Linked DNA regions of Nothobranchius furzeri. The main gene of each other region encodes a partner of the protein of the gene in region 3 in a complex. Links are inferred from orthologs where the notes say so. Each region holds a gene or a part of one and is shown on either strand. Other genes may lie near its edges. The genes, in order: crcp, polr3f, polr3d, polr3k and polr3c.

What was found.
Region 1: polr3d (region 3) and crcp share a complex: the UniProt entries of both Homo sapiens proteins name them as parts of the RNA polymerase III complex. The link is inferred for Nothobranchius furzeri from reciprocal best matches to the Homo sapiens genes POLR3D and CRCP.
Region 2: polr3d (region 3) and polr3f share a complex: the UniProt entries of both Homo sapiens proteins name them as parts of the RNA polymerase III complex. The link is inferred for Nothobranchius furzeri from reciprocal best matches to the Homo sapiens genes POLR3D and POLR3F.
Region 4: polr3d (region 3) and polr3k share a complex: the UniProt entries of both Homo sapiens proteins name them as parts of the RNA polymerase III complex. The link is inferred for Nothobranchius furzeri from reciprocal best matches to the Homo sapiens genes POLR3D and POLR3K.
Region 5: polr3d (region 3) and polr3c share a complex: the UniProt entries of both Homo sapiens proteins name them as parts of the RNA polymerase III complex. The link is inferred for Nothobranchius furzeri from reciprocal best matches to the Homo sapiens genes POLR3D and POLR3C.

The regions. Positions count from the first base shown.
Region 1 is NC_091750.1:56,809,986-56,814,263, forward strand, and holds the start of crcp (DNA-directed RNA polymerase III subunit RPC9), read right to left. Parts: upstream 2,809-4,278; 5' UTR 2,694-2,808; coding exon 2,686-2,693; intron 1,905-2,685; coding exon 1,868-1,904; intron 1,772-1,867; coding exon 1,673-1,771; intron 1,587-1,672; coding exon 1,492-1,586; intron 1,380-1,491; coding exon 1,322-1,379; intron 1-1,321. UniProt on the Homo sapiens protein: DNA-dependent RNA polymerase catalyzes the transcription of DNA into RNA using the four ribonucleoside triphosphates as substrates.
Region 2 is NC_091746.1:29,572,802-29,575,473, forward strand, and holds the end of polr3f (DNA-directed RNA polymerase III subunit RPC6), read right to left. Parts: intron 1,143-2,672; coding exon 1,035-1,142; intron 964-1,034; coding exon 772-963; intron 701-771; coding exon 623-700; 3' UTR 508-622; downstream 1-507. UniProt on the Homo sapiens protein: DNA-dependent RNA polymerase catalyzes the transcription of DNA into RNA using the four ribonucleoside triphosphates as substrates.
Region 3 is NC_091757.1:39,754,727-39,758,689, reverse strand, and holds the start of polr3d (DNA-directed RNA polymerase III subunit RPC4), read right to left. Parts: upstream 2,815-3,963; 5' UTR 2,659-2,814; intron 1,685-2,658; 5' UTR 1,679-1,684; coding exon 1,520-1,678; intron 20-1,519; coding exon 1-19. UniProt on the Homo sapiens protein: DNA-dependent RNA polymerase catalyzes the transcription of DNA into RNA using the four ribonucleoside triphosphates as substrates.
Region 4 is NC_091745.1:3,876,679-3,879,627, forward strand, and holds polr3k (DNA-directed RNA polymerase III subunit RPC10), read right to left. Parts: upstream 1,777-2,949; 5' UTR 1,634-1,776; coding exon 1,523-1,633; intron 1,412-1,522; coding exon 1,324-1,411; intron 907-1,323; coding exon 779-906; 3' UTR 509-778; downstream 1-508. Other genes in the region: snrnp25 (U11/U12 small nuclear ribonucleoprotein 25 kDa protein), read left to right, coding at 2,103-2,324. UniProt on the Homo sapiens protein: Core component of RNA polymerase III (Pol III) which synthesizes small non-coding RNAs using the four ribonucleoside triphosphates as substrates. Can mediate Pol I proofreading of the nascent RNA transcript.
Region 5 is NC_091745.1:77,811,042-77,815,187, forward strand, and holds the start of polr3c (DNA-directed RNA polymerase III subunit RPC3), read right to left. Parts: upstream 2,815-4,146; 5' UTR 2,687-2,814; intron 1,298-2,686; coding exon 1,151-1,297; intron 977-1,150; coding exon 712-976; intron 602-711; coding exon 309-601; intron 212-308; coding exon 107-211; intron 1-106. Other genes in the region: rnf115a (E3 ubiquitin-protein ligase RNF115), read left to right, coding at 3,541-3,618. UniProt on the Homo sapiens protein: DNA-dependent RNA polymerase catalyzes the transcription of DNA into RNA using the four ribonucleoside triphosphates as substrates.

The DNA.
Region 1 (4,278 bases), on a different chromosome or scaffold from region 3:
CAGAGGTTCGTAAATACAGACATTTGTATGATTTAGCTCTCAAAGATCACCGTGATCAACATGTTGTTAATCATTCTTGGAGAGAAATAGCTCGCACTGTCAGAAAAGACGAGGACGCTGTTAAAAATGCTGAAATGCCATGTTGTAAATAGTAATTTTTACTTCTACTATGGTGTAGTGTTAGATGCATGCCGTAGAGCTCCATGTTGCCCCGTTCAGTTTGGGAGAATATTGGCTCACCGCAGAGACAAGCCGCACGAACCATAAACGCTGCGAGTTGTGAAGCGCGTTCCATCCGCGAGCCGCATCACCAAGCGGAAAGTGAATGCGTCAAGCATAAACCAAGCTTTAGAGTTAAAGTTAGAGTTAGCCTTGTTTTAAATTGTTTAGAAATAAATCTTCTTAAACTTTAAAACTTGTCTCTCTCTTTGACTCTGGGTTATTACAAATTATTACCTAATCCCTGCAATAAAAAGTTCATATCTTCTGATTAAAGGTAGTATTCAAAGATACATCAAATTGATTCCATATTTTCTAAGGAATCTCACCTTTGATGGTTTCCTACGTAAGAGATGTAACTATCGATACACTACAACAGCAATGCGACTCTACCACTGATTATCATCTCCACAAGTAACACAAGCCTGGAGGAGCTTTTGCTGTGTGGTGGAGTTGCTAATGGTTAGCTTCTACTAGCTGAGACATTCTCTGCCGTTTCCTGGACGCTAAGCCAACAACAGCCTTCTCCGTCATGAATCAAGATGAGTGAGTCCATTAATGTTAAGTGACAGTGTGACTTAGATCTGTCAGGCTTTTCTAATCCTAGAGTTTCACCGTCTATTTTCCATCCGAAGCTAATGCAGCAGATAGACGTAGGAGACTATTTTCATGTTCAGCCTGCATGAAAAACTCAGAGACCGATTATAATCAGAAATATTCACTAAAAGTGTTCCACACCTTTAAAAGAACCACTTTTTTATAATTAACAAAGGATAAAATAGCAGCTAGTTCAAATGCCACGCACCAAACTCTTAGCGTGATTAAAATTAAAAAAATAATATTTTCCTTGTGTTGCGATACATTTTTAAAGTTTAAATTCTGTTTTGGGTGTCTTGATTCAACAAAAACATTTAATTTCCACAGTGTGTGTTTATTTTTTACTCAGTCTAGGTCTGAATGCTATTTAATATTTCTCAATCAAAGATTAAAGAAACTGCAGAGCTGGCAGGCAGAGCTACTGTGGATTTCACCGGTTATTACTGGTAGCCTGGTAGGTTGGGTTGCGTTTTGCACAAATTTTAACAAATTTAACGAGACTCACTAGCTGAATTTCTACTGCAGTTTGAGGTCGGTGGTTCAACAGCTGAAGTTTTTCTGCCCTGATGATGACAAAAACAAATCAGATTAACAGAAAAAGGCTAAATGTTAAGACAATGTCCATCGTATCAACACAACTAAATCAAAATAAAATGTTTATTAGATCTCACTGACTTTGTGAGTTTGTGGGGCATCATGGTGGTGAGGAACTCCTTGACAATCTCAGGACTTTGTCTGCTGGACGGCGTCTTCGACAGGTACTTAAGTGTCTGATGGCGAACCCACAGGAGATTATGTTTGTAATAAATATGACCAAAACATTTATATAAATGCAGGAAGAGAGATGTGACCTGACCTCATACATGATAGTGTTGAGGTTCTGCTGCCCGGCACTGTGTTTGCTCTTCCCCCCATCTTTCCTCTGTTCCTTCAGATCTATGAGAAGTTTGAACACCTGAGCAGTAAAAAAAAAGAAAGTAAAAGTTACAAACTGATCTGTTTGACTGAACAGTGAATAACACGTCATGCGAGGGTAAACCGACTATATTACCTCATAGTTGCTGAGCATTGCAGCACTTGAATTTTTGCTGAAAACACAAAAAGTTGAAAGTTTTGAATTGATGTAGTTGTTATGAGCTGCATGGAAGGGAGGAGCTGGTGCTGCTGCCTCACAGCGAAAAGGTTGCAGGTTCGAATTCCAGCTGCAGCCTTTGTGGAGTTCTCCACTGCATGCGTGTTTTCTCTGTATGGATACTCTGTTTCCTCCCACAGACCAAACGCATGCATCTCAGGTTAACTGTTGACTCTAAGTTGTCTCTACCTGTGAGTGAGTGCATGTGTCTCTGTGATGGACTAGAGAGCTGTCCCCTGTCCACCATCAACTCGGAATATAGAGGAATGAACAGTTAAGATGATTAATGCGTTTTTTGTCTCCATGTGGGTTAAGAAATTAAACCTATAAAAATGCAGTCGAGAGTAAAATATTATTCTGACCATTTACGAATCGTTTAGTAAAAATAAATAAATAAAAATCAGCTAAAAGTTTCATTTAAAAGAATTAAAAAGACTTTAGAAAAAAAGTCTTCAGTCATAACAAAAGGACCGTGTTGTTTGGCTTTAATGGTTAATACTGACTCGTTTTTTGTTTTTAAATTTTAATAAGCTAGGATGAACAGTTTTTCGTCCCAGACCGAACTGAAAATGTGTCTCTGCTGTTTCGCTAGCTCTGTTCGCTTTCATCCATCAATAATAAACCAAAAACTGAAAACTACGGCTTATAGTTGTTGTTAAAAACACAATTCACAACAGCTACTTAGCAAAGTCTCTTGCTAAAATAAACTAAATGAAAGGTAAAAATGAAATCCTTACACTTCCATTTATGCGCCCGGAACTGCGGTACGTTGTTACACCTTCCGTGGGGAAACGGAGAGCATGGATAAAGGTTCCGCCGACACAAATGTGAGGGGAGAAAAAAGTCTCGAAAGGTCTGCTTGTGTGTGTGTGTGTGTGTGTGTGTGTGTGTGTGTGTGTGTGTGTGTGTGTGTGTGTGTGTGTGTGTGTGTGTGTGTGTGTGTGTGTGTGTGTGTGTGTGTGTGTGTGTGATCGACAGGCGGATTGGTTCGGCGTCTGCAGTGAGCCGATCTGTCGTGGTGAAGAGGGAGCTGAGCCAGATTTCCTAATCTAACAGATTTTAAACATTAAAATACTCAACAGAAATAGTTCAGAAAGGAAATTAAAATGTTCACAACTTTGTGTGTGATTTATTAGTATTATCATGAGTATTTATTGTGGCAGAAGCTGGTGTGGTCCACCACTGAGAAGCTTCTCTAACATGAAGACTTTATTCTACAGGTTATTGTTCAGCCTTCTGATGCGCACGCACACACACGAGTGTTGGTGAGCGGCTGCGTCTGACTGCTGACGCTCCGTGTGTGTTTTTATTTTTGCAGTGAGACAAACTCACCTCACGCCGTCCAGAGTTTGTTCTTTAAAGCTTCTATTAAATCCACCGTGTTGATGATTTTAACACGTTTCCTCTACGCTGCAGGAGTTAAAGTTTACATTACGGAGTAAAAGTTCGGCGGACACGTTTGTTTATATTTGGCCGCTGCGCGCCAGGTGGGGGGAGGGGGGACTCGGTACTGCACACAGAAAGCTGGTGTGATCAGATCTGAAAAGCGTTGGTAGATCACGTTTATTTTTCACGGAGATCAGCTGCGGATTCCTCTTCCGTCGGCATTCTAGGAATCGAAACTTGGAATCTAAATAAAAAAATTTGAACGATTCCGGGAAAAACTAACAGTTGGTCCCCGTTCCAATCGATGCTCGATGCCCAACCCTAAATTGACTAATAATTTTTGTACTTGTAAACTGATCTGTGTGTCCTGTAGACTTGTCCGTGTGTACCAGGTGATTTGTGTGTGTGTGTGTTCAATGATTGTATGTGTAAGAACTGAATTTACACACAAAAATATAAACACAAGTTACAAATCAAGAGTTACACACACAAAAATCTTTAGTTACGCACACACAAATGTAGATAAACACACACAAATCTAGATACACATAAACAAATCTAGATACACACATACAGATCTTTTGAGACTTTTGTCCTCCCCATACAAACATGAGGTTTTTGCTGCACTCTTATGTCCTTGTGGCAGCAAGCAGCAGAGATCCCCCCCCCCCCCCCCCCCCCATTGGGTCTGTTCCATCTTTCATGATCTTGTGGTGGTATGATCTCGTTGACAGGCTCTGGTCTTGTGCTGCTATCAACAATCCTTCAGTTTCTGCCTTCAGTCCTGCACTGCGTAGCCACTGATATGATCTTGTTCTACGTCTGCTTTTTTTTACTCTCAAGGGGTATTGTCCATGCATTGGCTTTTCCTCCCATGTTTCTCTCATCCTCTTTTGGGCCCATTTCTTTGCCTCCCTTTTGGTCCTCTTGGCAAAGCTTGTTAT
Region 2 (2,672 bases), on a different chromosome or scaffold from region 3:
AGTGGAGCTCAATGAACAGAGGGGTGACGTGTGCTCTTTTAGGCTGATTGAAGACCAGACGCGCCGCTGCGTTCTGGACCATTTGAAGAGGTCTCACAGTGCAGCCTGGAAGACCAGTTAGAAGGGCGTTGCAGTAATGGAGGCGGGAGATGACGGTAGATTGCACCAGGAGCTGGGTGGCATGTTGTGTTAGGTATGGTCTGATCTTTCGTATGTTATACAGCACAAAGCGGCATGAACGAGCAACAGAGGCAACATGATCTTTAAAGGTCAGGTGTTCATCAATCACAACACCCAGATTTCGAACTGCCTTTGAAGGCGCCAGATATAGATTTTGGATTGAGATATTGTGCTGTATGGATGGTTTCACTGGGATGACAAGTAGTTCAGTTTTAGAGAGGTGGAGTTGGAGATGGTGGGATTTCATCCATCTTCATTTGTCAGAGAGACAGTCCAAGATTCCTGCAGATTTTACACCAGACTGAACAATAACTCATCTCAGCATCAAACGGTTCACACGAGCTGCTTTATTAAGACTGATAAATAAAAAAAAGAAAAACTGTGGATCACAGCAGGCTGAATGAAGTTTCCTCACAGAGAAAAGAAGTGGGCCGAATAGCCATCAGAAGTCCAACCACTCGGTCATGTAGATGCAGCTGGACGGAGAGATTTCCCCTCCCTCATGACAGTCATCAAACACCTGCAGACAGGATCAGGTGAGTTCAGGCGCGTCCACGAGCAGGATGCAGCCATGTTAATGAGTGTGGTTACCGGGCAGAGTCCGCAGGGCGTCTTGACGAGGCCGGTGGGCTGCAGGATGGGGTTCACGCCCCTGTACAGCTTCATCTGCCCGTCCACGCTGCCCACCGTCCCCTCCTTGGCGGCAATCACGGTCATCTCCACCTTCCCGTCATAGATGAGCGTGTTCAGAATGGTCTCGATGTCGTCCATGGACAGATCCACCTGGACACACACCTGTCAGACACACGGACTACAGCGAGCGTGATGTGTGATTGGTGGACGTTAGCAGTCACCTTACTAATTCCAAGCTCGCAGATGTACTTCCACACTTCATGAGAGGTGGCGAAGGAGCTGTTCCGCTGAACCATCGGGCTCTGATTGCTGTCCCTCGCTGCGTCAGCCTTAACACACGGAACACCACGACGGTCACATGACCAGAACCCACCTGTTCCTGAACAGCATCATCCAGACCAACCCAGAGGATGGGTTCTGATCCGATCATTTGGTCATTTGGCAGAACTATCAGGTTCTGGTCCAACAGTTGTTGTCGTCGGGAGGGTTCCCCAACAGAACAAAATGACCCAGAAGAACCTCAAAGGAGTATTGATGGAGGCTGGCTGAAGCTTCACGGTTAAAGAGCTTCCATCGTTTCTTTAAGACCTCTTTTAAAAGATAAGATCCTTACATCCCATAATGCCTTACTAAGGAACTGAGCTCAGAGACATGAGGTCAGGTCAGTGGACCTTCAGGAGGGAGATCTCTGCTGCCCTCTGGTGGTCCGTAATGACCTGAATAAACTTTTATTACCACACGGCTGTTCCAGCGCTCTCATAACAAAAACAGAGTAAGAGGACAATTCAGTTGTCTGTCTGTCCCGCTGTCTGGGGGTGGGGTTCAAACCTGCTCCACACACCTCAAGGGACAGTGCTGGACTGCCCTTTCCCTCTTGACCAGCTTGATTAATGTCCCCTTGACCCTCTCTACACTTCCACCAAACATAATAAACCTCATAAAAGGACAACAGACGCTACCACAGAGCTGTAGAGGGTCCATAACTGAGTTCAGTTCACCCCAAAGGAGTAGGTGAAGACGACGAGAGAGAGAGAGAGAGAGAGAGAGAGAGAGAGAGAGAGAGAGAGAGAGAGAGAGAGAGAGAGAGAGAGAGAGAGAGAGAGAGAGAGAGAGAGAGAGAGAGAGAGAGAGAGAGAGAGAGAGAGAGAGAGAGAGAGAGAGAGAGAGAGAGAGAGAGAGAGAGAGAGATCCTTCAGGCCGGTTTAAAGTCAGGCACATCCACGGATACCCAAAGTTCAGTCTCGGGGATGAGAGGTTTGTTGCTATGATGCTGCTGCTAAGCCAAGATCATTAAAAGGCTTCATTTAGTTTAACTTAAAGAGCAAGTCACCCCCTACCAGAGTCTAACTCCACTCCCACTTCCTGTTTGAAAAATGCAACAAATGCTGTTGCCTAGCAGACCGAGAGGGCGGAGCCGCTAACTAATACACACACACACAGGCTCACAACAACATTGTGACATCATATGGTACCAGCTAGTGATGTGTCGGTCGCGAACGAACCGGCCCTAAGAGCCGGCTCATCATTGGGAGCCGTGCCCCCCCCCCCCCCTTCCCTCTTGCTTTGGTGAAAGCTACAGGCGATTGGTCAGCATGTGTAACTGTGTGTCCAGACTGTCCACACACAGAGCAGTAGGGGCGGGGAAGAGGGAGGATCAGACTCAGACACACAGCAGAGCACATGCAGGTGGAGGGAGACGAGAGGGAATGAGGAGGAGGAAAAAGGTGAGAGAGAGAGAGAGAGAGAGAGAGACAGAGAGAGAGAGACAGAGACAGAGACAGAGAGAGAGAGAGAGAGAGACAGAGACAGAGACAGAGAGAGAGAGAGAGAGAGGGGAGAGCGCGACGAAGACGGTGAGA
Region 3 (3,963 bases):
TATTGGGTGTGAACGTTTTCTAAAAGTGGAAGAAAACAAAAACGTGTTAGGTTTTAGACAGTGTACAATAAAATCAGCTTCTGTTGCATCTTTAGTCATCACTTGTCCCTAGAAGCCACGAGTTTTTAACAAATGATTGGTTTTTTGTCTTGTCATTTTCGTATAGATTAATCTCAGTGATATAAATAAATAAATAAAAGACATAAATACTAAATTGAATGAACATTTTCCCCTTGATGCAAGTTGTTTGTTTTTAATAAACAGTTCAAACCCATAGAGTAAACAACCCGGTGTGTGAGCAAATGTCAAAGATGGAAGCAGCTCCCTTTTGGTAAACAGCTTGAGTAAACACTAAGCCAGTGTTGGGATCATAACTGATCCACAGCGTATTAATCGTCCTACGAGTATCAGGTAAGCTTTCTTTGTTCACATTATATTAGAAATAAAGAATTTTAAAGAGCATCATTATTTCTGATTATTATGGGTCACTGAATTTTTCATGCAGGCTGATCATGAAAAAGTCTTCTACACGATAGAAAATAGACAGTAAAACTCTAGGGTGTGAAAAGCCTGACAGATCTACGTCACACTGTCGCTTCACATTCATGGAGCTAGCCCCTATGTCCCAAGCCGTTGAGAACCTGCAGCTCCTGCCTGTGGACATGGAGAGCACGCTAAAGAGGATCAACCCCAACAAGGCCTCAGGACCAGGCAGGATCTCTGGTCATCTGCAGTCAGCTGGCGGGAGTTCTCTGCTTCCTGTTTAACTGCTCGCTAGCTGAGCACTCCATCCCCTCCATCTGGAAGTCCTCTATCATCTGCCCCGTGGCAAAGCAGAACAACCCAGGCATCAACAGCGACTTTGGACCTGTAGCTCTGACATCACTGATTGTGAAGACCTTTGAGAGGCTCGTAATGGCCCAGCTGCTGGTTGATGTGGGTGCATGTTTGGACCCAATGCAGTTTGCATACCAACCACACAGAGGGGTGGATGATGCTCTACTAACTATGCTGCATGAGACCCTCACCCACCTGGAACAGCCAAAGTCACATATCAACCTGGTCTTTGTGGATTTCTCTAGTGCATTCAACACAGTCCAGCCACATCTTATGGGATGTAAACTGCTGAACCTGAATGTTAACTCCCATCTCATCCTCTGGGTCCTCTCCTTTCTCACGAGGAGGGAGCAGAGGGTCAGGGTTAACGGCCATCACAGTACTGTCAGGTCACTCTCCACTGGTTCCCCACAAGGTTCAGTCATCTCTCCACTTCTGCTCATTTTATACACCAATGACTGCAGGAGCACAACCCCAGGAATCACTGTTATCCAATCTGAGGATAAATGTCCAAGTATCAGGAACTAAGACTCCAAAACCTGCTGTCTGAAGCGCAGCTGTGATGTGGGTAACTTCAGTTCCTGGTAATGGTGCACCAGTGTATTGTTTCCCCCTGACTTTCGACTTCCTACTATAAACCACTACAAATAACTATACTTTAATAAAAGACCTGGTGCAGTACCTTTTTTACTCCCCCCAGTGTGAGGTCTCTTGACCTCATGGAAGGGAGGCGACCTGGAGAGATTCCCGATGGTGGTCGGCGGCCCATCAGCAGTCCAACGTTACTGCTGCCTCCAGGAGTCGCCATTCGCTGATTACTGGTGTCACTTGAGTCAGCCATTTTGAACTAAATAAAGTAGGAGATACAAATCAACCTTTTTCACTTGGAATTATTTCTACTGGTATCTGTAGTCATCGTGGACACAACAAAGACTCTTTTTGTAGAAAATATCTAAAAATCACAGATATTTTTGTCTGCATTGGCACCTATTTCTAACGACATTCTGATGGATTTTGTAGCATTTAAAAGCAACATATGAATGCAGGTATTACATCTGGATGCACATCTACATCCACACTGGACTGTTGATGCTTTGCATCTGAGATCTACACATCCTTATCGTAAAAATATCTAATTACTATGTGCAGCCCTAAAATATTGTGTACTTTATATTATAATATTAAACATTGGGTTCAGACTGAAAACCAGTTCTCTCTTTTCTGGATTACAATGGGGATTATGCTAATTAAATGCATCTGTTTACATTCCTCTGTTGGTTTTACTGTTGATCTTATTGACGCTGTTTTAATCACGTTGCTTATATAGATGTTTTTTTAGCCATGGCCTGTGGCTTTTGTCTTTCAGCACCCCATCATTGGAAGCTGATGTGATATGAAGACATGCTAACGAATAGTGAAGGATTGATTTAACTTTATTGTTTAGCTGGGAACAAAAATTGTTTGCATTTATAAAAGTGGCACACAAGTACTTTCAACTTGTCGTTTTAGGCCTGTTTAGCTAAATATTTGGACACTACTAATGAAGGAGTTAACTAGTGCAGTGAAGTCATTTCAGCTGGGTCTCCAAATGACTTAACTTTCTTCACTTGCAGTCAGACTACTGGTTACCACTGAAAACTTTCCTACGGTTAAACTGGTTTTCGTTTCTCTTAATCTACCGTCCCACTACGAAAAAAATACTTAATTCCAGCTAGAAATGAACAAACCGCCAGCACGTGGACATAATGATACAGCACTAGTTCGCTAACCTTCATCATTAGAGAAGAAAAAGTGATATTTAAGCTTTTTCCAGATCCTTACCTGATTTCTTCTTCCGGGGTCTTTATTCTATGTTTATTCACGGTCTGCGAGTCATAATAAATGAACCTTAGCTAGTTGTGTTTCTGTTTCTGAGCCAGCTAGTTGTGTTTCTGTTTCTGAGCCACTGTGCTGCACGACGCCATGACACCTCTGCGTTGTTGTTCCGTTCGGAACGCGCATGCGCAGAATGAGGCGCATGGCCGCAGGCTGCAACGCGGGCGGGGCAACGCGTCTGGGTCACAGTAAAGGAAAGAATGAAAGGAGAAAGGACAGGCAGAAGAGAGAGCGTCAGTATGTCGCACAGTTATTCTCAAAGGAAGGTGGGTTTAGTTAGTGATTGGTTAAATTCAACCTGTTAGCTAGCTTTGATATCCACAATGAGAGGAACTATGTTTCATCTAATTATGGTAAATGGGTTGCTGTCCTTGTCCTTATAGAATCAGCAGCTGGTGATATGTCAGCAGGTGACTCCTCACAACCCAATGAACCTCACGAAGGTGAATGTAGCATGTTAGTTAGCAGCCTCATTTAAGGGGGTCTGTGGGAATCACTTAAGGCTCTCTTCTCTATCAGTACTATTACGAAGGAATATAAAAAGGCTATTTTTGGTGATAAACACATTGTTTTTCCACATAATGATAATTATATATATCAATCAGTAAAAATGTATAGATTGTTGTTGATGCTGGGCAGGTTGAAGCATTGTTATTTAGTCTGTTAATGTAACATAAATTACTGTGAGATTATTAATGTGAAGCACCTTTTTGAAGGCACCATACAAGAAAAAAAAACTCTTCATCTACTAAATACCTTGAAATGAAATGTTTTGAATCTGACTGAATTATGGGAGGTTTTACAAGATATAATTTGTTTATGTAGCTTTGAGAACACAAACCAAAAATCAGTCATTTCCAAATAAATCATCAGAGAACAAAAATGAAACAAAAGCTATTAATAATTGTAATAAATAAACGTAATATAACATTGAACACAATAAAATGACATCTAGTATTGATCGTTATCGAGCATTATTAATTATATCACTGTAAATAATAAATCTTGCTGTGTACAATCAAGGCTGAATATATTTTTAGCAGTTTTTTTGTTGAGAAAAATGGGTGTCTAGAGACTTATATAGGTTGTACCGTTATGAATCTTATAATGGTCTGCCTTAACAGCTGCCCCTTCACACAGTAACATCACCAAGGTCGGACGCTTGGTTCAGTATGTTTACATTCCAGGAGAAGAGACAGAAGAAGAGAAGAAGAACGCTTTTCATTGATTAATCAAAGTACTTTATTTGTG
Region 4 (2,949 bases), on a different chromosome or scaffold from region 3:
GGAAAAATACCAGGCCACCCAGATATGTAAACAACCTACGCTACCCGGCCCGGGCCGACCCGGTACAGATGGGAATGGTCCACAAGTGTACTGAAGGCGATAGACAAGCTAATCACTTAAAAACGAAAGCATGACATCTTGGTGTGTGTTTTTCTGTCAGGCTCATGCAGCACCATTTCAGATTTAGCTGATCTTAAGAGGTTTTAAAAACTGAGTACTAAGCCATTAAGGATTCACCTAAATGAAGGTTCTTCGCTTAGATGAAATGAAATACATTTGATTAGTGAGATTTTAATGAGCTTCATGAAGTTGTTGAATTAGACCTTTTGCAAAAGTGATTCTGAACACTAACAGTGAATCATCTCAGCATGTGGGATACATCAGCCACTAATGCTTCTCGCAGTTTGCCTGGGCTATACCTTTAGTAATAATCATTGATGTGCTCCGACTCTGTGCATATTTTTTTCCTCAAGACTGAAAAATCTGTGCAAAATATAAAACAAAAAAACACATTTTGTGAAGGATTGTAATGGAACTTTAGTCATGTTGTGAAAACTGCTGGTCTGCATCGCTCCAGATGTCTGATGTACAACTATGTACGCAATTTATGTGACTGTACACAGGCGCTATTTTACCAATAAAAATCATGAAGTAAACACTTTGTCATGTGGAACATTTATCACAACTGGAAAGTAAATGGTGCAAATAAATACAGAAGAAAAGGAAAACCAGGCCAGAAATCATCTGAACATTTGAAATAACTACAAGTAGAAAACTTTCAGTCTCTCCATCGATGTCCACACTGGGCATTACAGCATTTGTAGAAAGTTGTCATGGGTTCATCAGCAGATCTGGTCTGAATCTGCATGAAATACGCCCGAGGATGCTCACACTTGGGACATTTTTCTGTACAGAGATAGAGAAGGAATATGTCAGCTTAGAGGCCACACCGGTATGTACCATCTTATACCCCAAATACCTCTGGTATGTCCAGGTTTTAGTTTAAGAATGTTAATCTTAAGAAATCACTAATCCTGTTTAAGGATCATGAATTGTTTTAAGGAGATAAATAATAGTTTATTAAGCATCTAGCCAATTCTACTATGACCTAAATAAAGATACAGGATATCAGGATTGTTGAATGGTTTGGCTTGAACAAAAAGAAAAACTGAAAATCCTGGATTAATCCGTTTGTATAATTGAAAATTGGAAGTACACTTTTCTCATTTTAGGCGTTAAAACACTTTAATTACTTAACTAAAACTAAAGAATATGCTAAACATTTGTATGCAGACTCCAGGAAGTCATTTTAATGTTATTTACCTGCAGTTGAATCCACGTTCTCCCACGCAGCAGCCCCACCGAGAACATCATCCACCTCCTTTAATTTGGGATACTTTCGGTTGTTTACCTTCAAGAGAAATAAAACAAGACCTTAAACTTACAAACCTAACGACAAATATTTTGTGTTTCTGACACCAACTAGATGATGAAACCTGGTTTAGTTACGGGTGACTCCTACCTTTCTTGTGATGTTGTGTATGTAAGGACAGGTGTTACACGCGAACCTCATACACTTCTGTCCTTCTTCTACGATCAAAACGTTTCCACAGGTAGGGCAAAAGAGTAGCATTTTAAATGTAATCAATTTGGTCGCAAACCATCAACTAAATGGAATCTAAATGTGATTTCACCAGAAACCATCTGCTGCGTAGAGAAAACCGGAAGTCGACTGATGAAAACAGCTCGAACGGAAACAACCGGAAGTCGCTAATCGTTTAAACAACATGCCTAATTGTATGTAAACAATTCTATATTAAAATGAATGTTATTAATTTATGATAAGAATACGTATTTATCAAATGTTAACGCAGCTGTTCATTTTTATTTTCATCAAGTGGAACCTTTTACATAAGGTCCATTTCCGTTCCGGTAGTTTGTTTGTACTGCACACAGTTACATACGGGCTTTTGCTGTTCTAATTCTTCTTTTTTAGCAGCAGTTTTGAAGTAAACCTGTAATTGTTGTCCAGGTAAATTGTATCCAGACGACGTTTTCTAGCAGGAAACCCGGAAGGTACCCAATAGCTGGATGATTATCGGATGGAGGAGGAGCAGAGTCCAGGTTCTGCTGTAGTCAAAGGAGGTGAAGGAGCGCAACTAGTGCAGGATGAGGAGGTGAAAAAGGAGAGCTTCCTAAACGAGGCAGCTGCTGAGGAGGAGGACGATGAAGATTCTCTCCCTCACTCTGAGATCCTGGATATTTTTGAAGAAGGACTTGCTCGACTTGTGCAGGACCCTTTACTCTGCGACCTGCCAATCCAGGTGTTATTTCTGAGTGCCCTCAGTTACTCTGAAGGAAAACGTGTGTTGTCACCTTTATTTGAGATTCACTCATTGGAGCTGGTCTATTTTATTTTTAAAGTCCAATGACGATTGTAGAAGATATTTGGGCCAGGATTATACTTTTGTAGGATTTAGTAAATCACACTGTTACAATATCGTTGGGTATTGCGATGACGATAACAGTTGTGCTAAATCCTCATTTTCCTCACTCTGTTACCACACATCACTCACCACTGGTGTGTTTTCAGCAATAGCATTAAGGAGATTCAGTCACATGAACATGTCCCCATCTACTGTGAATCAAGCTGTTTTTGTGTGCCACTGAAGCAGTCACAGTGATGATGTTTTGTGATACATTGTGCAGCTTTTGTTACTTTAGTCAAAAGTTTGGACACACACCTCACCTGCAATTTCCAAACAGTCTATTTAGATACCTATTAAAACTCAAATGGATCCCATTTGCACTACAAAGTGTTTATGAATCAATTTGCAAGCTTCCAATGGAGTAAAAACAGCAGATCACTGCATATTACAGTTTTTATTAGAGCAAAGACAAAATTATCTCCCCAAAGTCCTTGCTGATGTCTCTTCTTGCTTGTATGTT
Region 5 (4,146 bases), on a different chromosome or scaffold from region 3:
AAACATTTTAGTCATCCAGGAGAATGAATAAGCGTTTTGTAGGCACGTTCAACTCTTTTTTTTTTTTTATTCACTCGTATTTTTAGTCCTGAAGAGGAAGCCTGACCTGATCCAGTTTACTGGCCACGGCACTGATGATCACCTGGTCTCTGAAGTGCTGATGAAACCGCGTAAAGTTCACCTGCCAGTAGATCCCCTCGTCACCATGAGTCTGCACAAAAACACCAACCGTGTGTGATGATGATAAAAGCAGAAACAGAGAAATGTTGGAATGAATAAATAGGTGAAAAAAGAGAGTTGTTCCCGACTTCTGGCTCCATTTTGGCTCTTTTTGCGCTCCTTTGCTCTTCTCCCTCCTCGGTGGCGAGCTGGCGCTTTCCCCGCCCGACGAGGGTCACATGAGGCACCTTATAGCACTCGGAGAAGCTCTCTGGGTTGGGCAGGGTGGAGCTGGAGGCGGCTGCAGTGGGATTGGGGCCGGCTTGAGTGCTGCTGGCTGTCATTCCTGCTCCGTCCAACGGAGGGCAGCGCTGCAGGAAATGCGTCTCCACCAGTTTAGAAAAGACAGACGACACTTCGCTGTAATCAACGCTCTGCCCATCTGTAAGAACAACATAGACACTTGATGTCACGTAATATAAATCCTACTGAAACCTGAAAAACATTCAAAATCAAATCCAGATTTTTGTCTTTTTAAAATCAGACGCTGACCCTCCATGTTCTGACTGAGGCGGTCAGCGACTGTCTTGACCGTGCCGCTCATCGTCATGTGACCCCTCTGAAGCAGCTCCTCAACGATCAGCTCTCCGGTGTCACCGTACAAGGTTTTAGAGGTGTAGATGTAACGTGGGTATCGCAGAATCCTCAGAATGCAATCGCAGCTTGCCTGATACTCTGGGGGGCTGCCGGGTCCCTTTCGACCAGAGATGAACGAACACGCTCCGTGATGCATAAGCACGCATAAAGACTTCTTTACCTTTAAAAACAAAGGCAAAAGCAGCATCTGTACTGTGTGATTAAAAATCATTTATAGTGTAAAACTGTCCAATAAATCAACTCTACTTATCTAAAATACATCACCACCAACAATTAGCTGCTAAGCAAATATATTCTCAGTATTAACCAGCAGAAAGAAGCTTGTCATTTGTACCAGGTCCGCTGAGACTCCAGTTTCATGAACAATGGCTCGTAAATGTTGGCCACCACTTCTGAGCAGGTGTGTTCCCACTTTCTCCACCACCTCCCCGAAATGCTCTCGCATCAGAAGACCACACAGTCGTACCTCCTGGGCTGTCATCTGCAAAAACATACAATATAAATAAGATCCACAAGTAAACGGGTCAGGGATGAGGTCCTGCCCCAAGTGGAGGAATTTAAGTATCTCGGGGTCTTGTTCACGAGTGAGGGAAAGCTGGAGCGTGAGATCGATAGGCAGATTGGTGCTGCGTCTGCAGTGATGCGGGCGTTGTACCGGTCTGTCGTGGTGAAGAGAGAGCTGAGTCGGAAGGCGAAGTTCTCGATTTACCGGTCGATCTACGTTCCTACCCTCACCTATGGTCATGAGCTTTGGGTAGTGACCGAAAGAACGAGATCACGGATACAAGCGGCCGAAATGAGTTTTCTCCAAAGAGTGGCTGGGCTCTCCCTTAGAGATAGGGTGAGAAGCTCGGTCATCCGGGAGGGGCTCGGAGTAGACCCGCTGTTCCTCCACATCGAGAGGAGCCAGTTGAGGTGGCTTGGGCATCTGGTCAGGATGCCTCCTGGACGCCTCCCTGGTGAGGTTTCCCGGGCACGTCCAACTGGGAGGAGGCCTAAAGGTAGACCCAGGACACGGTGGAGGGACTATGTCTCTCACCTGGCCAGGGAACGCCTTGGGATTCCCCCGGAGGAGCTGGCCCAAGTGGCTGGGGAGAGGGAAGTTTGGACCTCTCGACTTAGGCTACAGCCCCAGCCACCCGACTCCAGATAAGCGGATGAAAATGGATGGATGGAAGTAAACTGGTTTTATTTATGTTACAGGTTTTGTAGAAGAATTCCTGTATTTTATTGTAGATGAAGCAAAACAGTAAATTAGATGACATCACCTATATCACGATAATAAAACCCACGGAAGCAGCACCAGATTAGCAGAACATTTTATAAAAGATGCTTTTCATGAAACAGATTGAAAACAAAATAATCAGTGTAATATGAACCAACAGTTGATCAAAATAAACAAACTAATTAAATGACAAAATGACTGTACCAAGTTGTGAGGAAAGTACTGAATATTGTGTATGTGGTTGGCTTAAATAGGTAAATTAGTATGATTTATTATCAACATCTTAACAGAAATTAACCTATTGCAAGAATAAAGTCATTTTATTGTATTTTATAAATTATATTTACTTTTTTGACAGGACACTAAAACACTAGTACACTTAAAGCATCACAAATCAATCACTAGCATCTTTAAACTGTGATGTTTCGGTTAAAAAAACACTAAAGCACCATAAAACAAAAGACAACATGTAAACTTCATCTAATATTAAATGTTAATTATGTTTTAAGCGTCTCTGATTAATGTCCACACCAGTGAAGCTAAAGTTGTATTAAGTGGATTAGCTTACAAGCTACTAGCGGCTAGCTCACCTGAAAGTAAAGAATTAGGAAAAATAAATACACGTAACTTATTTTTTTCACGAACCTTTTATTGCAGATGGGTTTCGGAGCAAACGTAGCTGTTGCCTTCATGCATCGACTTTTTACACATGCGTCTCTTCCATCACAACACACAGACACTTCCGGTAAAAAAGACACTTCCGCTCTCTGGGTCTTCCCTCCAGGATTTGGCTGCAGTGCAGCGCCCCCTGTCGAGCTGGAGATCGTTTGGTTCAGGCAAGTTGTTGTAGCATATAATTAACCACATCCCATTTTTTTCATTTGGAATTTAAATAAAAAAAAATTTGTTCATGAATTGCATTTTTAGTTATCAGAATAAACAACTGAAATTTCAAGCGCTCGACGTGTTAATAAGTTAGACAAAAAGTAAGAGGTACACAATCACACTGGGTGAAGTCAGTATTCATCAGTAAACATCTGCAGTTCCTTCCATGTATTTCAAAAGGTATATTTCACCTATTCAAAATCAACATTTCAAGAATCTCAAATACCTTTCCCAAATGTTAGGACAAACAAATTCCCATAGAAATTTAGTTTCCGGTTTAAAAAATCTAAACGTACTTTGCTGTCGAACAACTTTTGTTAGAATAATAATTTGTTTCTCAAAACTGGAATTCCCACTAGAGAACAATGTGCAGATTTCAAGGTCTTGAATACCGTGGTAACTCTGAAATATTTTAAATTTTCATATGATTTACTGCTATCATAAAGACGTTTTTATTATTAAACGTTTTAAAACAACTTATAATCATTTTGGAGGATATGAAAATGCATATGATAAATATCAGAATTATCACTTATTATATGATGAACCGGCTTGCCATAAAGTGTCTTTTGGTTGTAAAGGACCAACGTCACTAGTTGTGCTGCTTGGGGAAGATGGCGGAGGCCGCGCCTGTTCCCCCGCATCGGTTTTTCTGTCACTGTTGTAAGGGAGAAGTAAATCCTAAACTCCCGGTAAGTCCGGTGTTTTTGGTTAGTCATGTGTGATATATTCCACATCGTGCGCGACTGACAACACCGCTGCTCGACCAATAGCAGTTAGTTTCGCCTGTCTGCTACAGCTAAACCGCCGCTAGCTTGTTAACAGCTAGCAACGGTTGTTGCTGTTAACTCTCTGAATTAAACGGTGCCTAATTTGTTTTTACTTGAGGTAAACGCTGGGTTATAAACTTGACACTGTCAAGTTTTGTTCTATTCGTGTGTCTACGCGTAATTGTGTCAAAACTCAGGGCCCGAAGCTTCAGGTTTCCCACTGTGAATGTGTTGTGAGCGTATTTTCCACCGAACAAGACCTGAACACGGATTGTCTGGACCATTAAAGCCAAGACGACATATTTAAAACTCAGCTGAGAGACAGTGGACTAGTTTTGTTTTCAGTGTTTGTTTCTGGTCAAATATACTGTTGGAATGACGAGTTCGGGGATTTTTCATGGACTTAATGTTTAGTTTCATTTGTGAAGTCAAAGCAGCACTAGGTGCACT